Linked DNA regions of Saccharomyces cerevisiae S288C. Each later gene encodes a partner of the first gene's protein in a complex. Each region holds a gene or a part of one and is shown in the gene's direction. Other genes may lie near its edges.

What was found. The genes of interacting proteins can lie anywhere in the genome.
Region 2: SNU13 (region 1) and SMX3 share a complex: the UniProt entries of both Saccharomyces cerevisiae proteins name them as parts of the U4/U6-U5 tri-snRNP complex.
Region 3: SNU13 (region 1) and SNU114 share a complex: the UniProt entries of both Saccharomyces cerevisiae proteins name them as parts of the U4/U6-U5 tri-snRNP complex.

The regions. Positions count from the first base shown.
Region 1 is NC_001137.3:98,900-103,878, forward strand, and holds SNU13 (RNA binding protein SNU13), read left to right. Parts: upstream 1-3,043; coding exon 3,044-3,424; downstream 3,425-4,979. Other genes in the region: YEL028W (uncharacterized protein), read left to right, coding at 1-230; VMA3 (H(+)-transporting V0 sector ATPase subunit c), read left to right, coding at 1,870-2,352; YEL025C (uncharacterized protein), read right to left, coding at 3,682-4,979. UniProt on the Saccharomyces cerevisiae protein: Common component of the spliceosome and rRNA processing machinery. In association with the spliceosomal U4/U6.U5 tri-snRNP particle, required for splicing of pre-mRNA.
Region 2 is NC_001148.4:897,060-900,954, forward strand, and holds SMX3 (mRNA splicing protein SMX3), read left to right. Parts: upstream 1-3,134; coding exon 3,135-3,395; downstream 3,396-3,895. Other genes in the region: GTPase-activating protein SEC23, read right to left, coding at 302-2,608; DPM1 (dolichyl-phosphate beta-D-mannosyltransferase), read left to right, coding at 3,696-3,895. UniProt on the Saccharomyces cerevisiae protein: Plays a role in pre-mRNA splicing as a core component of the spliceosomal U1, U2, U4 and U5 small nuclear ribonucleoproteins (snRNPs), the building blocks of the spliceosome.
Region 3 is NC_001143.9:119,505-126,043, forward strand, and holds SNU114 (U5 snRNP GTPase SNU114), read left to right. Parts: upstream 1-3,012; coding exon 3,013-6,039; downstream 6,040-6,539. Other genes in the region: Zn(2+) transporter ZRT3, read left to right, coding at 1-800; TPO5 (Tpo5p), read right to left, coding at 876-2,732; EBP2 (Ebp2p), read left to right, coding at 6,255-6,539. UniProt on the Saccharomyces cerevisiae protein: Component of the U5 snRNP complex required for pre-mRNA splicing. Binds GTP.

The DNA.
Region 1 (4,979 bases):
CTAACACTACCGCTATGACGAAGACAGTGTCATACTGTTATCGTAACTACGGGCATAGTTTCTACTTCACTCATTACAAATACGACTATTTTCCTAGCGGGATTAGTTATATGGCAAAACTTGGCGATGCCACCGTCAACCATACGGACTTACCTCACTTTAGGAACAACAAACGGCTAACAACGCAAGAACTCAATGCCTTCCAACATCCAATTGTCGAGTTTCAGTAAGTACTCAGGTATTACGTTATGTACATGTATGATAATTCTGATTAACATCTTTTATACACAAAGATGTATGCATGAATGGTGCAAATATCTCGACGATGCGCAGTAAAGAAAGCAATTTACTACTAACGTCTAGCGATATCATAGATGATGACAGGATAACGATATAGGTTAGATGGATATTGGAGTAATTGTCAAGTCCCATTTTGATTGAAGACAACATTATTAGGCCTACAGAGTTGCTAAAATTCTCCACTAGGTCACAGGAGTTCGCAAAAGAGAATCAACAATCTACATAACCATGCACACATTTCTTCGTCCTCTACGTTATAATTTACTGCTCTAAAAGCGTCACTTCTCCTTTCATTTTATGTTTTATTGTTCATTATCCTACTGCGTTATCAATCCTTACATTTCGGCTTCCACTAAATTTAATGACTGCTTCTCATCATTTCATGTCTTCTAACGCCGTATATAATAATATCCCAGCAAAATATAACTGTTAGTTAGTGAATCATAACCGACTGTTACTCCTGCAATATCCATGGGAGAAATCACCATCGGAAGGTAAACTAACACGTAGGTATTGATTCTACCGGAAATGAACAAATGTCGTACTGCCCAAATGAGCCAAATGCCATCATATACGCCTTCATAACTATATTTGAAAAATACCTTTGCCTAAAAGACGAGTGGTATTGGAAACTTCAATTAGTGTTCAAAAATGTCCAGTGAGAGGATGAAGTTGTCGTGGTTGAAACAGCATAAACCACCTAAAATAGTATCAACTGACAACAACTGTGGAACACATGCGGTTACTTTTATAATTAACCGCAAAATACCTGAAATGAGCTAAGAAATAGTAATTATAAACATGCCACTACAAGTAACAGATTAAGTGATATGTTGGCGGACCTCAATATAAGCGACATGGAGAGATAGAGATAGAAGAATTTGTTATTGTGTTAATAAATAAAGTTAACATCCAGTTCTTTCAAGTTGGCTAAGCGCCGTGGCGCAGTGGAAGCGCGCAGGGCTCATAACCCTGATGTCCTCGGATCGAAACCGAGCGGCGCTAATTTTTCATTTCTTTTTGCCCGCAACAATAACACAGATCGCAATCATTTAAGCTATAGACTATAAGCTTTAACTTCTGCGTTATTATTAATAATTGTTATTGTTTTAGTTAGGTATTTCTATCAACTTATTTTATATATTCTATATTACAGTTTTCTTTTTTTACAAATTCACCCAGCAATTATTTATTATTAATTGTACATCTTCTTTAATAATGAATTTATTATTGCACAATATTCAACTTAGGAAAGATAGAGGAACTGAATTCTTTATCAGCAATGAAATAGGCCGTCTACGGCCGTCTACGGCCTATTCCATTGCTAAAAATTTGAATCGTATAAAGGGATATTACCCGGAAAAGAAACGCATTAAAAAAAAAAAAAAAAAAAAAACAGAAAAAGTGGTTAAGTGATTGACTGACCCTTGATAGTTTTGTACAATTATACACTCGTTCTGATTAAAAACTTGTTTATAAAAATCTTTTTAAAAGAAAGAGAAGATCGTGTTTATTGCTTTTCTCAAAAAGACTAATCAATTAGAATAACAAAAGAAACATATACATATAATGACTGAATTGTGTCCTGTCTACGCCCCTTTCTTTGGTGCCATTGGTTGTGCCTCTGCAATTATCTTCACCTCATTAGGTGCTGCTTACGGTACTGCTAAGTCTGGTGTTGGTATCTGTGCCACTTGTGTGTTGAGACCAGACCTATTATTCAAGAACATTGTTCCTGTTATTATGGCTGGTATCATTGCCATTTACGGTTTAGTTGTTTCCGTTTTGGTTTGTTATTCGTTGGGTCAAAAGCAAGCTTTGTACACCGGTTTCATCCAATTGGGTGCCGGTCTATCAGTCGGTTTGAGTGGTCTAGCTGCTGGTTTCGCTATTGGTATTGTCGGTGATGCAGGTGTTAGAGGTTCCTCTCAACAACCAAGATTATTCGTCGGTATGATTTTGATTTTGATTTTTGCTGAAGTTTTGGGTCTATACGGTTTGATTGTTGCTTTGTTGTTGAACTCCAGGGCTACTCAAGATGTTGTCTGTTAAGGCAGCTTCTGAATCACTAAAGCAGGAATAGAGTATACAAAAGAATCTTTTTGTGAGAAACTATGAAAACTATCAAAATTTTTCATCTTAGAGATTGTTTATAGCCCCTATTCTTACTTCATATCCAAACTACCTCATTTCAAGCTTCCTTTTTATTAGTACCATTATTATTGTTTAAAAGAGTATTACACGCTAAATATGTATATCTTAATTTTTAATGTGTATAAAATAGAAAATTTGAATATCAAGGAGCAACAAAGAGCATTATGCGTTTTAAGCTACACAATGGGTACGATGAGATCACTATACCTGTACTCTTAAAAGAGGCCCAACCTTATCAACTTCTATTGTTAAAGTAGACAATTGTATCGTTTCTTTTTCTTATCGGTTTTATCCGGGTAATAAATTCAGCATATAGAAAAATTTTTCATTTCTATTTTCTTTTTCTTTTCATTTTTCCTTTTTCTCAGAAAATTTTTTTTTCTAATGCTGGAATGAGATGAGTTAGAAAATTTTTCACTTTAAAACTGATTATTCTGGTTAATAGTGCTTATTCCTCTTAGTGTTCAAGTCCTACTTTCAAATCTTAATTTAAATCATCATTCGAGCGAGCTTTCTATACCAGGACCATACTGATTATTGCAAGGAACTTGAATAAACCAGATTTCATACTATAAAAACTATATTAAAAATGTCTGCCCCAAACCCAAAGGCTTTCCCATTAGCCGATGCTGCATTAACCCAACAAATCTTGGATGTCGTTCAACAGGCTGCTAACTTGAGACAATTGAAGAAAGGTGCCAACGAAGCTACCAAAACTTTGAACCGTGGTATCTCCGAATTCATCATTATGGCTGCTGACTGTGAACCTATTGAAATCCTATTGCATTTACCATTACTATGTGAAGACAAGAATGTTCCATATGTCTTTGTTCCATCTAGAGTTGCTTTAGGTAGAGCTTGTGGTGTTTCTAGACCAGTTATTGCTGCTTCTATTACCACCAACGATGCTTCTGCTATCAAGACCCAAATCTACGCTGTCAAGGACAAGATTGAAACTTTATTAATTTAAGTAGATTGGATTATATCTATCAACATAGTTTTTGTACCATCTATATACTATAAAAAAGTTTTTTGCTTTCCACTAGTGCAGACGCTAATAGTGCTGTTTTGTTAGTGGTATGATATATGTCATATCTTCATTGAATAACCTACTCGAGTGCATCTGTAAATGCACAAACATGTATTATCAATTGAGCTGTAGTAATTTAGGCATAACAAAAAGGTGCAAGATCTCATGGCACCTATTCGTTCGTAGGAGATTTATTGTCACCTTTTTAGTTTTACAGGATCGAAAAAATCTATGGTCTTGTATGGTGAATGATCTATATGTCTTCTCTTTGAATTTCTAGCTAGCTCATCAAAGCCGCTTTCATTTATTCCAGTCTCTTTACTCACGGAATATTGTTTAGTAACATTTCGCATGCTTTTCTCAGACCTTCGAAAAGCTCTTTTACATTCGAGCTTGATCTTTTTGTAATCATGCAACGTTCTCATCCACAGCTCACCAATGAATTCCGATATTATATAAATTTGGCCCTCAGTACCGCAAAGTAAAAATAGAGGTATGACGCCTTCCAACCTTTGACTATTGAAATTTGGACATATTTGAAGGTTTTGAAATCCATCTGGGATGGCCGCCAGTGAGATTATCTTATTAGGTAACCGAATTTTGAGGTATGGCATAGCCAACCCGCCCTTATCAACTGATAATTTAGAATCTTCGTATATTGTCAAGGTATTATCAATACCAATGGTGGCAACATAAGATCTATTGGAATATTTCAACGTTGCACAAGAAAGGTCTGATAATCGACCTAATAGATAGTTCTTATCACTCGCTAAACAATCGTTTTTAGGTTCTCTTAGCTTCTTAGGAATTATTTTAGTCGCCACTTGTGTAATGCTTCCCAACCGCTTAAAACCCAAGTAGGGACATTCAGGGTACTCTGATGGATATACTATGGACGTCCTAATTGGAAAGCGGGTTCTCAAAAAATCTCTCAAGATCTCAAATTGAACCAGATAATCACCACTCATATAAGCTGGAAGACCTATATGGTTAATCGATGAAAGTGCTGGGAAGGAATAGGCCTCTAAAATTTCCGCGCCCTCTTTTAGCATGTTTATTTTATATGCTGCTATGCCACTATCACCAGAAAATAAAACCAAGTTGCACTCATAGTATATGAACACCGAGAATATACAATCTTCGAGATAATTCGCGTACAATTGGGTAATGTTATTGTTTCTAATTTCAAACAGCCAGAATTTTGTACGTTTTTCACCAACTCCTAAGCATACAACAAACTTATTACCATAAAAGGGTCTCTGTGATAAGTAGATTGAGTTTTGTTCTGGCCACAGTGGCTTCACAACGGCATGTAAATACTTTTCATCCGAGAAACTGAATGTGGAAACTGCCTTCATTGAAGCATAATTGAATAGCATCAACTTATACTGCCTACTATTGCTATCGACCAAACACACCACGGCCTGATTGAGGTTATTTGGAACAGTATAGAGCTCTACGGGAATGCTAGGGAGGTAAAAGATATGATTTTCTA
Region 2 (3,895 bases), on another chromosome or scaffold:
ATAATTGGAGGCAGTAAAGCATTATAGTCATACACAATAATAATAATAATAATAATAATAATAATAATAATAATAGTAGTAGTAGTAATGGTAATAAAAAAGTTAGAAAAGAAATTAGATACAGATATTCGTAGTAAAGGCCACGCAGTACAAAAAAGACGGAGAATATATTATATAAAATCCTCTACTCTTTTCGTTCAGGTCCAAAGGAAAATTCTTGCACGCGCAATGGACTGAACAGGCCTTATATTATACAAAAAGCCTAATAACGATCAAATAAAACAAAAGAAAGCCGTTGCTCCTATGCCTGACCAGAGACGGCTACTTGTTGTAAGTGAGTCATGAAATTTTGTAAGGAAACATCATCTGTTAAGACAATTGTAGATCCTCCGCGCGCCATGTCTTGATAGTTATCGGAAGGATTCAATTTAGATAACAAGAATCTGGCTTGAGAACCACCGGCTTCAGTATCAATGAATCTTGGTAGCGGGAACCTATCTACTAACAATTCTGCGGCTTCTAATTTTGGCTCTTCAAGAAGAGCTTTGAAATCTGCGTACTGTGGATCGTCTTGGTAACCGGCTTTTCTCCATTGAGCGATTTGCTCACCGTGGTATATTAAGATGAAGAAAAATGTATCTAATAATAGAATGGTATTGGGTTTGACGGAGATAGAGTCTAATAATACCGGTTGTGGATCGTCCTCCATTGAGAAAGAAGTTAGAGTTGGTTGAATCATGATTAAAGAATTAGTCGTATCCTCTCTTGTGAAAATATGTCTATAAAATGCAGTTTCATCCGGAGAATTGTTAAAGACACTTAAGAATTGGGATCTTCTTAAATAATAGGTAAATTGAGGATACAGTGAGAAATTTGGAGCCAACCTGAAAGATTGAGGATCATCTTTATTATAGTCGGCGTACTTTTGACATAGCTTAATCAAAGTTCTGTCTAACCATCTAATAACATCTGCACCATCATCGGTTTCAGCCTTGTGAACAGCAATACGAGCCATCAAAACGGCAGCAGCTTCTTGATCGAAAGAAGCTGCAATGGCAGGAGTACCGAAGGGCAAAAGCTGGTTTGCGACCGTGGTGACTCTGATACGGTTGGTACCAGAGGAGTGTTGATAAGTAGTGATGAATTGAGTATATGCTAGATGAGGTCTATCTGCTGAACCAGGGGCAGACATCATTGGGTTAGAATTAGCCGCAGTGTTTGCAATTTCAAAGAAAATCGCATACGAGTGATAAGGCGATAAGGAAGCCATCTTCCAGGTGGACGTTGCACCTATACCGATTTCAGATTCACTGATGTTGTTAGCGTCTGTCTTCTTTACAGCAGAAGCATGCCCAATCAAACCTTGTACCTTCAAGTCTTTACTTGTCTTGACTGCCATATTACCATTGAAAGCCATCTTCAAATACCCTTCTTCATCCTTGGCAAACAATCTCAAGTATGATTGCTTAAAAATCGCGGTAGAGAAGGCATCGGTTAGCAACAACACACCTCCAGTAGAGTCGGTCAACTGTTTCATTTCAGACATACCGATTTGATCGTAACAACCGGCAAAAATATCAACAGTGTGTCCATTGGCGGCAACTCTTTGTGCAATCTGGTTGTAAAACTTACAGGCCTTCTTGTAATGTTGCGCGTGATCAGAATCGATGTCGTGGTGGGATCTTAAGGGATCTTTTAACTCTGAGTTAACAATCAAACCTGGGGCCACGGTGCCTGGACCGGAGGCGAAAAGAATGATTCTTGCTGGGATGTTCTTATAGCAGCCCTGTAAAAGCAAAGATGCAATGTTCAAAGCGGAACCTGTGGCCCTTAATGGCCTATGACCCGCTGGAACAGACCATTGGTCTGGAGACAGATTTTCCAGTAATTGATTCAGTTTGAACTCGACCTGTTCCAAGGGCAGGAAGAACCTATTCAAAGAGAAGGGCGTAACTTTGTTCATGGCGTTCGGTAGATGAGATGCAGCACCGCCGGGGCCGGTAGGCTTTTGGCCGGTCAACATTTCCGTCAACGCTTCGAGCTGGTACTCCCTGTCTCCTCTGAACACGTTGCACCTGTCAATAGTTTCGCTGGACAGATCGTGCAATTGAACAACGTTTCCGTAAGTGATCAACCCAATCAGCGCGTTGGGAGGTAATAGAGACAAAGAAGTGATGATAGACTCCTTTAGCGAATCGAGGTTCTCGGTTTCCGAAGTCAAATCCACAACAAAGAAGAAAATGGGAGGAACGGTAACGGGCTTATTGGTGATGTACTCAATGGTGGTGGACTGTAACTCTAGCGGCATATTCTCCTGTGACAAGTTGGTGTACTGTGGAGGTAAATGGTTCCTGGAGTTACAGATGGGACAACTCCAGGACGAATTGCGCGGATCAATCACACAGTAAGGATTTAGAATCGACTTACAGTGTGGACCGGAACACACAACTGGATTGTATGGGGCAACGTTCAATTCGTCATACTCCTTCAAAGGTGTGTACAAACAGCCCACAGGGACGACGTTGCTGTTAGCGTCGCTTCTAGTAGAGGGAAACACGTTCCAGGTGAAACGGACCCCGTTGATGTCTTCATTAGTCTCGAAGTCCATGGCTAGAAAAGAGGAAGGGGAGGCAGGCGACAGACAGATAAACACTGGCTTCAGTTAATTGTGTGTCTTGCTGAACGTGGAAAGATCACAACAAGTATCTTTTTTTCTTTTTTCAAACGTGTTTTTCTTTTATTCTTGCTAGAACTTTCCTCCTTTGTAACAAACGAGAGGCGGCGGGCTAGTCGTCGCAAGCGACAAATCTCAACTGACAGTAAATAACGGTGATAAAACAAAATTAGCGCAATCTCTCAAACTACTGAGGACAACCAACTTGAATTGCACTCTTCCAAGTTGTAGCATGGCTTGGGGGGTGTGTGATCCCATCCTGTATTATGGCAAAGCAGGCAAAACAACCGCTCTGCCGTCCGGGTAACTTTTCTTGTTCCACCTCTTTTCCCCAACATATATGAACATGAGATGGTAAGAGCAAGAAACAACGGTTCTATGAGCAACGCAAAAACAGCACAGCACACACAGCACCGCGTACTATACCACACCACACACTACGTCACAACACAACAAGACAATGAGCGAGAGCAGTGATATCAGCGCGATGCAGCCGGTGAACCCGAAGCCGTTCCTCAAAGGCCTGGTCAACCATCGTGTAGGCGTCAAGCTTAAGTTCAACAGCACCGAATATAGAGGTACGCTCGTGTCCACGGACAACTACTTTAACCTGCAGCTGAACGAAGCAGAAGAGTTTGTTGCGGGTGTCTCGCACGGCACCCTGGGCGAGATATTCATCCGCTGCAATAACGTGCTGTACATCAGGGAGCTGCCGAACTAAGACGACTGTGCTCATCTCCCTTACATACCAGTATATTTACATACGCCCTCTACTGTAATACAATATCATTCTATAGCACTCGCATCGCGTATTTTTTTTTTATTTTCTTGCTTTATATTGTTCTATTTTTCTTCCTTATTCCTGCCTCTGGATTTCCCTCGCATGACAAATAGCGTGGAAAAATAAAGGATTTCCAGTATTTGAAAAATTTTCAGTATTCTTACGTGTTCCTAACTCATATAGACCGCTATTGTAATAACGCTATCGCTTCAATTACACACAAACATACACGCACCCACAATGAGCATCGAATACTCTGTTATCGTTCCCGCTTACCATGAAAAGCTGAACATCAAACCCTTAACAACCAGATTGTTTGCCGGCATGAGCCCTGAAATGGCCAAGAAGACCGAGTTGATCTTTGTCGATGACAACTCACAGGATGGCTCCGTTGAGGAGGTGGACGCCCTAGCTCACCAAGGCTACAACGTCCGCATCAT
Region 3 (6,539 bases), on another chromosome or scaffold:
AATCCGATGACAAGGATCATCGTGGCCTTGTATGCGTGGAAAATAATATCGGTTACGATCTTGAAAACCTATCGTTGTACCGTAAGAATTTTCTTTCGAGCCGCCATCATCATTCCTCTGAATCGCCCGAAAATTATGGTTCCAACCAGTTGTCGCACTCTTTTTCGTCACCTTTGGGAAATGATGTAACTGAGAATCCGGCCGCATTGGCAGACACACAATACCATCCCGAAAATGGTTCATTATACCCCCACCATCATCACTTAGAGACCCCTTTTTCCAAATTACTGTCTATTGGTATGCAAACTTGTCTAGTCCTTGCATTACACAAATTTCCCGAAGGGTTTATTATTTTTTACACTAACAGGTCAGATTCGTCAAAGTCCTTGGGATTTTCCATTTTTTTAAGTTTGACGATCCATAATTTTGTCGAAGGATTTGCAATGACGTTACCATTCTACACTGTTTTCGAATCTAAATGGGTTGCCATTTTGATTACTGCCGTTCTCGGTGGTGGATCTCAACCATTAGGTGCATTGATAGGTTATTTCATCTTTAAAGGTAGTACTCCAAGGGATCACGAACCCAACATGGATTTTTTACTGAGCGTTACTGCAGGGTTCCTATTAGTAATTGGTTTACAAATGTTCCAAACTGGTATCGGATTTAGCGATGGACATCATCATCATCAAGGAGAAGGTGATGAAGAAATGAAACAGTCCCATAGCTCAGGCACAACTTGCTTGAAATGGTGCTGCACTGGCGTTTTGCTAATTCTAGCGAGTGCCCTTTTCACTTGATAAATTAAAACTACGTATATTCTTTCTATATAAGTCTTTTCCCATTAAATAACGGTGTATAATCACGATCATATATCATATATCATATCTACGATCATCGGCAAGATCAAATTCTTGTTCTGCTGTATGGTGCTCATCACCATAATCGGTTATCACGTTTTCCTCATTTTCCTCAAAGGGATTTTCTGTACTACTTTTAGGATGCACCTTGATGAAACCTTCTTCAGAATTATTTTCTACAGACTCTTTCACTGTGGTTCCCGAGTTTAGAGTATGTTCAACATTGCTATCCTCTAGTTCAAAAACAGTTTCTTCCGCATCACTGGGAATTGGAGCCTTGATGTCATCTGCCAAGGGTAATCTAAAATTATACTTCCCCCATTTGAAATAAAGACCAGTGATAACTAAAATGCAGAATACGTACACCATTAAAGCATAATTCATTGTTTTGAAAGTTACAGGCACTTGCGTTGGTAGGCAAACAGAAACCATAGATAACAAGAGCCACACAATAGAAACAATGTTGATGAACCAACCAAACTTATACCTGATTTTTACTGGCGCGCTTCGGATAGCTCTTCTTCTCGTAAACAGCACCAAGACTAACGGAATGAAAGTCGCAGAACAAAGACAGAGCACTGCAGCGCCTATAAAAGCATTAAATGCGGCCGTTGAAATCAAAGCTAGCAGACCTAAAAAGTATGATATTATCATACTCAATACAACAGAATTCTTGGGGACTTTTGACTGAGAATCCGGTTCGACGTAGGTCCATTTATCGTAGTATGGTATAGCCTGGTCACGACTAAAACTATATACCGCACGAGAAGATGTAGTAATCGAGCCAATTCCGGAAAACAGTAAGTTTCCTAAAATTAGGAGCACTAAAAAAAAAGACAAGACCACCGAATCAGTCGATTTTGTAAAAATGTTCACTATTGGTAGAACCTTATGATTGGTAAAAAGCAAATCATTATCTGGCAGGATTAACATTATTGGTATAAGAAAAATGACTCCAGAGAACGCGGATAACAATACCGCATTCGACATACCACGTGGAATATCCTTCTCAGGAACTTTGACTTCGTCAGCTAAAGCAGGTAACATACTGAAACCTTGTAACGTGAAATTAGACTGTTGGAATCCAATGATGAAGGAAAGAAATGCGCTTTTATACCCTGATAGATTATTATCAAAGTGAAATAGCGCGTACTTCAAAGATCGAAATTTACCTTTGTGGAATACTAGTAGAAGAATATCAATAAATATAATGGCATATATGATCCAATAAACACAGACTTTGTTTATTGTTTCAATAAATCTTGCAAATTTCAAATTCACGAGGCCTACAACAGTCACAACTAAGTAAAATACAATGACTGTGTAAAAAATCAAGTGTGCCTCGGATATTAGGTTGGAGTTCGTCATCAGAATCAAAGAAATGGTAAGTTGAGCGCCTGCAAAAGTAATACTGGTACTCATAGTCCAATTCCCTATGAGCATTAACCAGCCAGTGTACCACGAACATACTAATTTCAATTTCTCCGGGGCCAACATGGCACTCCCAACATGCAGTTCCATCGGAAATTTTGAAACAATCTCACCAAGAGAAAGCGACGAAAACCATATACACACTCCACTGATTAAAAAACCTAGCATTATAGTTAACGGACCACCATTAATTAGCCCAATGGCCATACTAGTGCACATTCCTAAAACGGGACTCATTAGTCCTAAACCGAGACCGACAATAGAACCTCTTGACAATAACGATTTATCCAACACCTGATCATAATTGAAATGCTCGGCCTCCTCGTTCTCTTGACTGTCATCTTCATGAACAATGGTGTGCAAGTTATCAAACAAACCATTCGGATCGAAATGAACGATATTCTCCCTTATATTATCAGCCAGTAGCGTATACTCTGGCATTTTTCATTTATTTGACTTATTTTTATTTATTTTATTGTACAATGGCAAACAAATACACGGACTGGTATGTTCTTCGTCAAATTGATGATCTGTTCTTTTGGCTTATCCTTATGGGATGATTAATGATTGTTAAAGCCTCATTGCGGAAATTTTAATGCCGGAAAGGCCTGAAAAATTTCAAAGTGGCAGAAAACAAGGCTTTGGGGCATTACTTGCCAACGGCTGACGATTGCTAGCTGCTTTTACAGAAGCGATACACAATAGCTCCTAACATAGCAAAATGGAAGGTGACGATTTATTCGATGAGTTTGGAAATTTGATCGGAGTTGATCCTTTTGACTCGGATGAAGAAGAAAGTGTGCTGGATGAGCAAGAACAATATCAAACCAATACGTTTGAGGGGAGCGGCAACAACAATGAGATTGAGAGCAGACAACTTACCTCGTTAGGAAGTAAAAAGGAACTTGGAATTTCCTTAGAGCACCCTTATGGTAAGGAAGTGGAAGTATTAATGGAAACTAAGAACACACAGTCACCACAGACTCCACTGGTAGAGCCGGTTACAGAACGAACAAAGTTGCAAGAGCATACAATTTTTACACAATTAAAAAAAAACATTCCGAAGACTAGATATAATCGAGACTATATGTTATCAATGGCTAACATTCCGGAGAGGATAATAAATGTTGGTGTCATTGGACCTCTTCACTCAGGTAAGACCTCTTTGATGGATCTCCTAGTAATCGACTCACACAAACGCATACCAGATATGTCTAAGAATGTAGAACTTGGATGGAAACCGCTAAGATACCTGGATAATTTGAAACAAGAGATTGACCGGGGTCTTTCCATTAAACTTAATGGTTCCACTCTACTCTGCACCGATTTAGAATCCAAGTCTAGAATGATAAACTTTTTGGATGCACCAGGGCATGTTAATTTTATGGATGAAACGGCAGTCGCACTTGCAGCAAGTGATTTGGTTTTAATCGTGATAGATGTTGTAGAAGGTGTTACATTTGTGGTAGAGCAATTGATAAAACAAAGTATTAAAAATAATGTAGCAATGTGTTTTGTTATAAATAAACTCGACAGATTGATTCTAGATTTAAAGTTGCCACCAATGGACGCATACTTGAAGTTAAATCATATAATTGCAAATATCAATTCCTTTACGAAGGGAAACGTGTTTTCACCAATAGACAATAACATAATATTTGCGTCTACAAAGCTGGGCTTCACATTCACTATCAAGGAATTTGTTTCTTATTATTACGCCCACTCCATACCTTCTTCTAAGATAGACGACTTTACCACAAGGCTATGGGGTAGCGTATATTACCATAAAGGTAATTTCAGGACAAAACCATTTGAAAATGTAGAGAAGTACCCGACTTTCGTTGAATTTATCCTCATCCCGCTTTATAAAATATTTTCCTACGCTTTATCTATGGAGAAAGATAAATTAAAGAATTTGTTAAGGTCTAACTTTAGAGTTAATTTAAGTCAAGAGGCCCTCCAGTACGATCCGCAACCTTTTTTAAAACACGTTCTACAGTTAATATTTAGGCAACAAACCGGTCTTGTAGATGCGATAACCAGATGTTATCAACCATTTGAATTATTCGACAATAAGACAGCTCATCTTTCAATTCCAGGAAAATCTACACCAGAAGGCACTCTTTGGGCTCATGTACTGAAAACTGTGGATTACGGTGGAGCAGAGTGGTCCCTTGTACGGATATACTCTGGACTTTTGAAGAGAGGGGATACAGTACGTATACTTGATACATCACAATCTGAATCTCGCCAAAAAAGACAGTTGCATGATATCTCAAAGACGGAAACCTCCAACGAAGATGAAGATGAAGATGACGAAACGCCTTCATGTGAGGTCGAAGAAATTGGCTTATTAGGTGGCAGATATGTCTATCCGGTTCATGAAGCACACAAAGGACAGATAGTATTAATAAAAGGTATTTCAAGTGCATATATTAAATCCGCGACGTTGTACTCTGTAAAGAGTAAGGAGGACATGAAACAGCTAAAATTTTTCAAACCTTTAGATTATATTACCGAGGCAGTTTTCAAAATTGTTCTTCAACCTTTACTGCCAAGGGAATTACCCAAGTTATTGGATGCCCTGAACAAAATTTCGAAATACTACCCAGGCGTTATTATTAAAGTTGAGGAATCTGGAGAACATGTAATACTAGGAAATGGAGAGCTGTATATGGACTGTTTGTTGTATGATCTAAGAGCGAGTTATGCAAAGATAGAAATTAAAATATCTGATCCTTTAACTGTTTTTTCTGAAAGTTGCTCAAATGAATCGTTCGCTTCAATACCTGTAAGTAATTCGATATCTCGCCTTGGTGAGGAAAATTTACCAGGTCTGTCGATTAGTGTAGCCGCTGAACCAATGGACTCTAAAATGATTCAGGATTTGAGCAGGAACACATTGGGAAAGGGTCAAAACTGCTTGGATATTGACGGAATAATGGACAACCCAAGGAAACTATCCAAAATATTGAGAACCGAGTATGGGTGGGATTCGTTGGCATCAAGAAACGTTTGGTCTTTTTATAATGGCAACGTGTTGATTAATGACACTTTGCCAGATGAAATCAGTCCTGAATTATTATCCAAATATAAGGAACAAATAATACAAGGATTTTACTGGGCTGTAAAAGAGGGGCCTTTGGCAGAAGAACCAATTTATGGTGTACAGTATAAATTGTTATCGATCTCAGTACCTTCCGACGTAAACATTGACGTTATGAAAAGTCAAATTATTCCGCTAATGAAAAAAGCCTGTTACGTTGGCTTACTGACAGCAATCCCAATTTTATTGGAACCCATCTATGAAGTTGACATCACGGTCCACGCCCCCTTGCTGCCAATAGTAGAGGAACTTATGAAGAAGAGACGTGGAAGCAGGATATACAAAACAATAAAAGTGGCAGGGACACCATTGTTGGAGGTTCGTGGACAAGTTCCGGTTATTGAATCTGCAGGATTCGAGACAGATTTGAGATTATCTACGAATGGTCTTGGTATGTGTCAGCTGTACTTTTGGCACAAGATATGGAGGAAGGTTCCTGGTGATGTTTTGGATAAAGATGCGTTTATTCCAAAATTGAAACCCGCACCTATCAACAGTTTAAGTCGTGATTTCGTGATGAAAACAAGAAGGCGGAAGGGTATTTCTACAGGTGGATTTATGTCAAATGATGGTCCTACGCTTGAAAAGTATATAAGCGCTGAATTATACGCTCAATTAAGAGAAAATGGCTTAGTACCGTGAAAATCTTGGCGCATAAGAATTAAGCAATATGTCCACAATATTTTTATTCAGCAGAATTTACATATGACTTCGTATTTAGTGATATAACTACTCATCGGGACTGAAAATTTTTTATTTCTGCCTAAATACAGATGAGATGAGCTTTATAGAATTTTACGCTGTTAAAAAGTTAAACGGTAACAAAGCACAGTTAGTTGAACAACGGTATATAGAGAATGGCTAAAGGTTTCAAGTTGAAGGAGTTGCTTTCGCATCAAAAGGAAATTGAAAAAGCTGAAAAGCTTGAAAATGACCTAAAGAAAAAGAAATCCCAAGAATTGAAGAAAGAAGAACCAACTATCGTTACAGCTTCTAATTTGAAAAAGCTTGAGAAGAAAGAAAAGAAGGCCGATGTTAAGAAGGAAGTTGCTGCAGATACTGAAGAATATCAAAGCCAAGCCCTTTCTAAAAAAGAGAAAAGAAAGTTGAAAAAAGAATTGAAAAAAATGCAAGAACAGGAC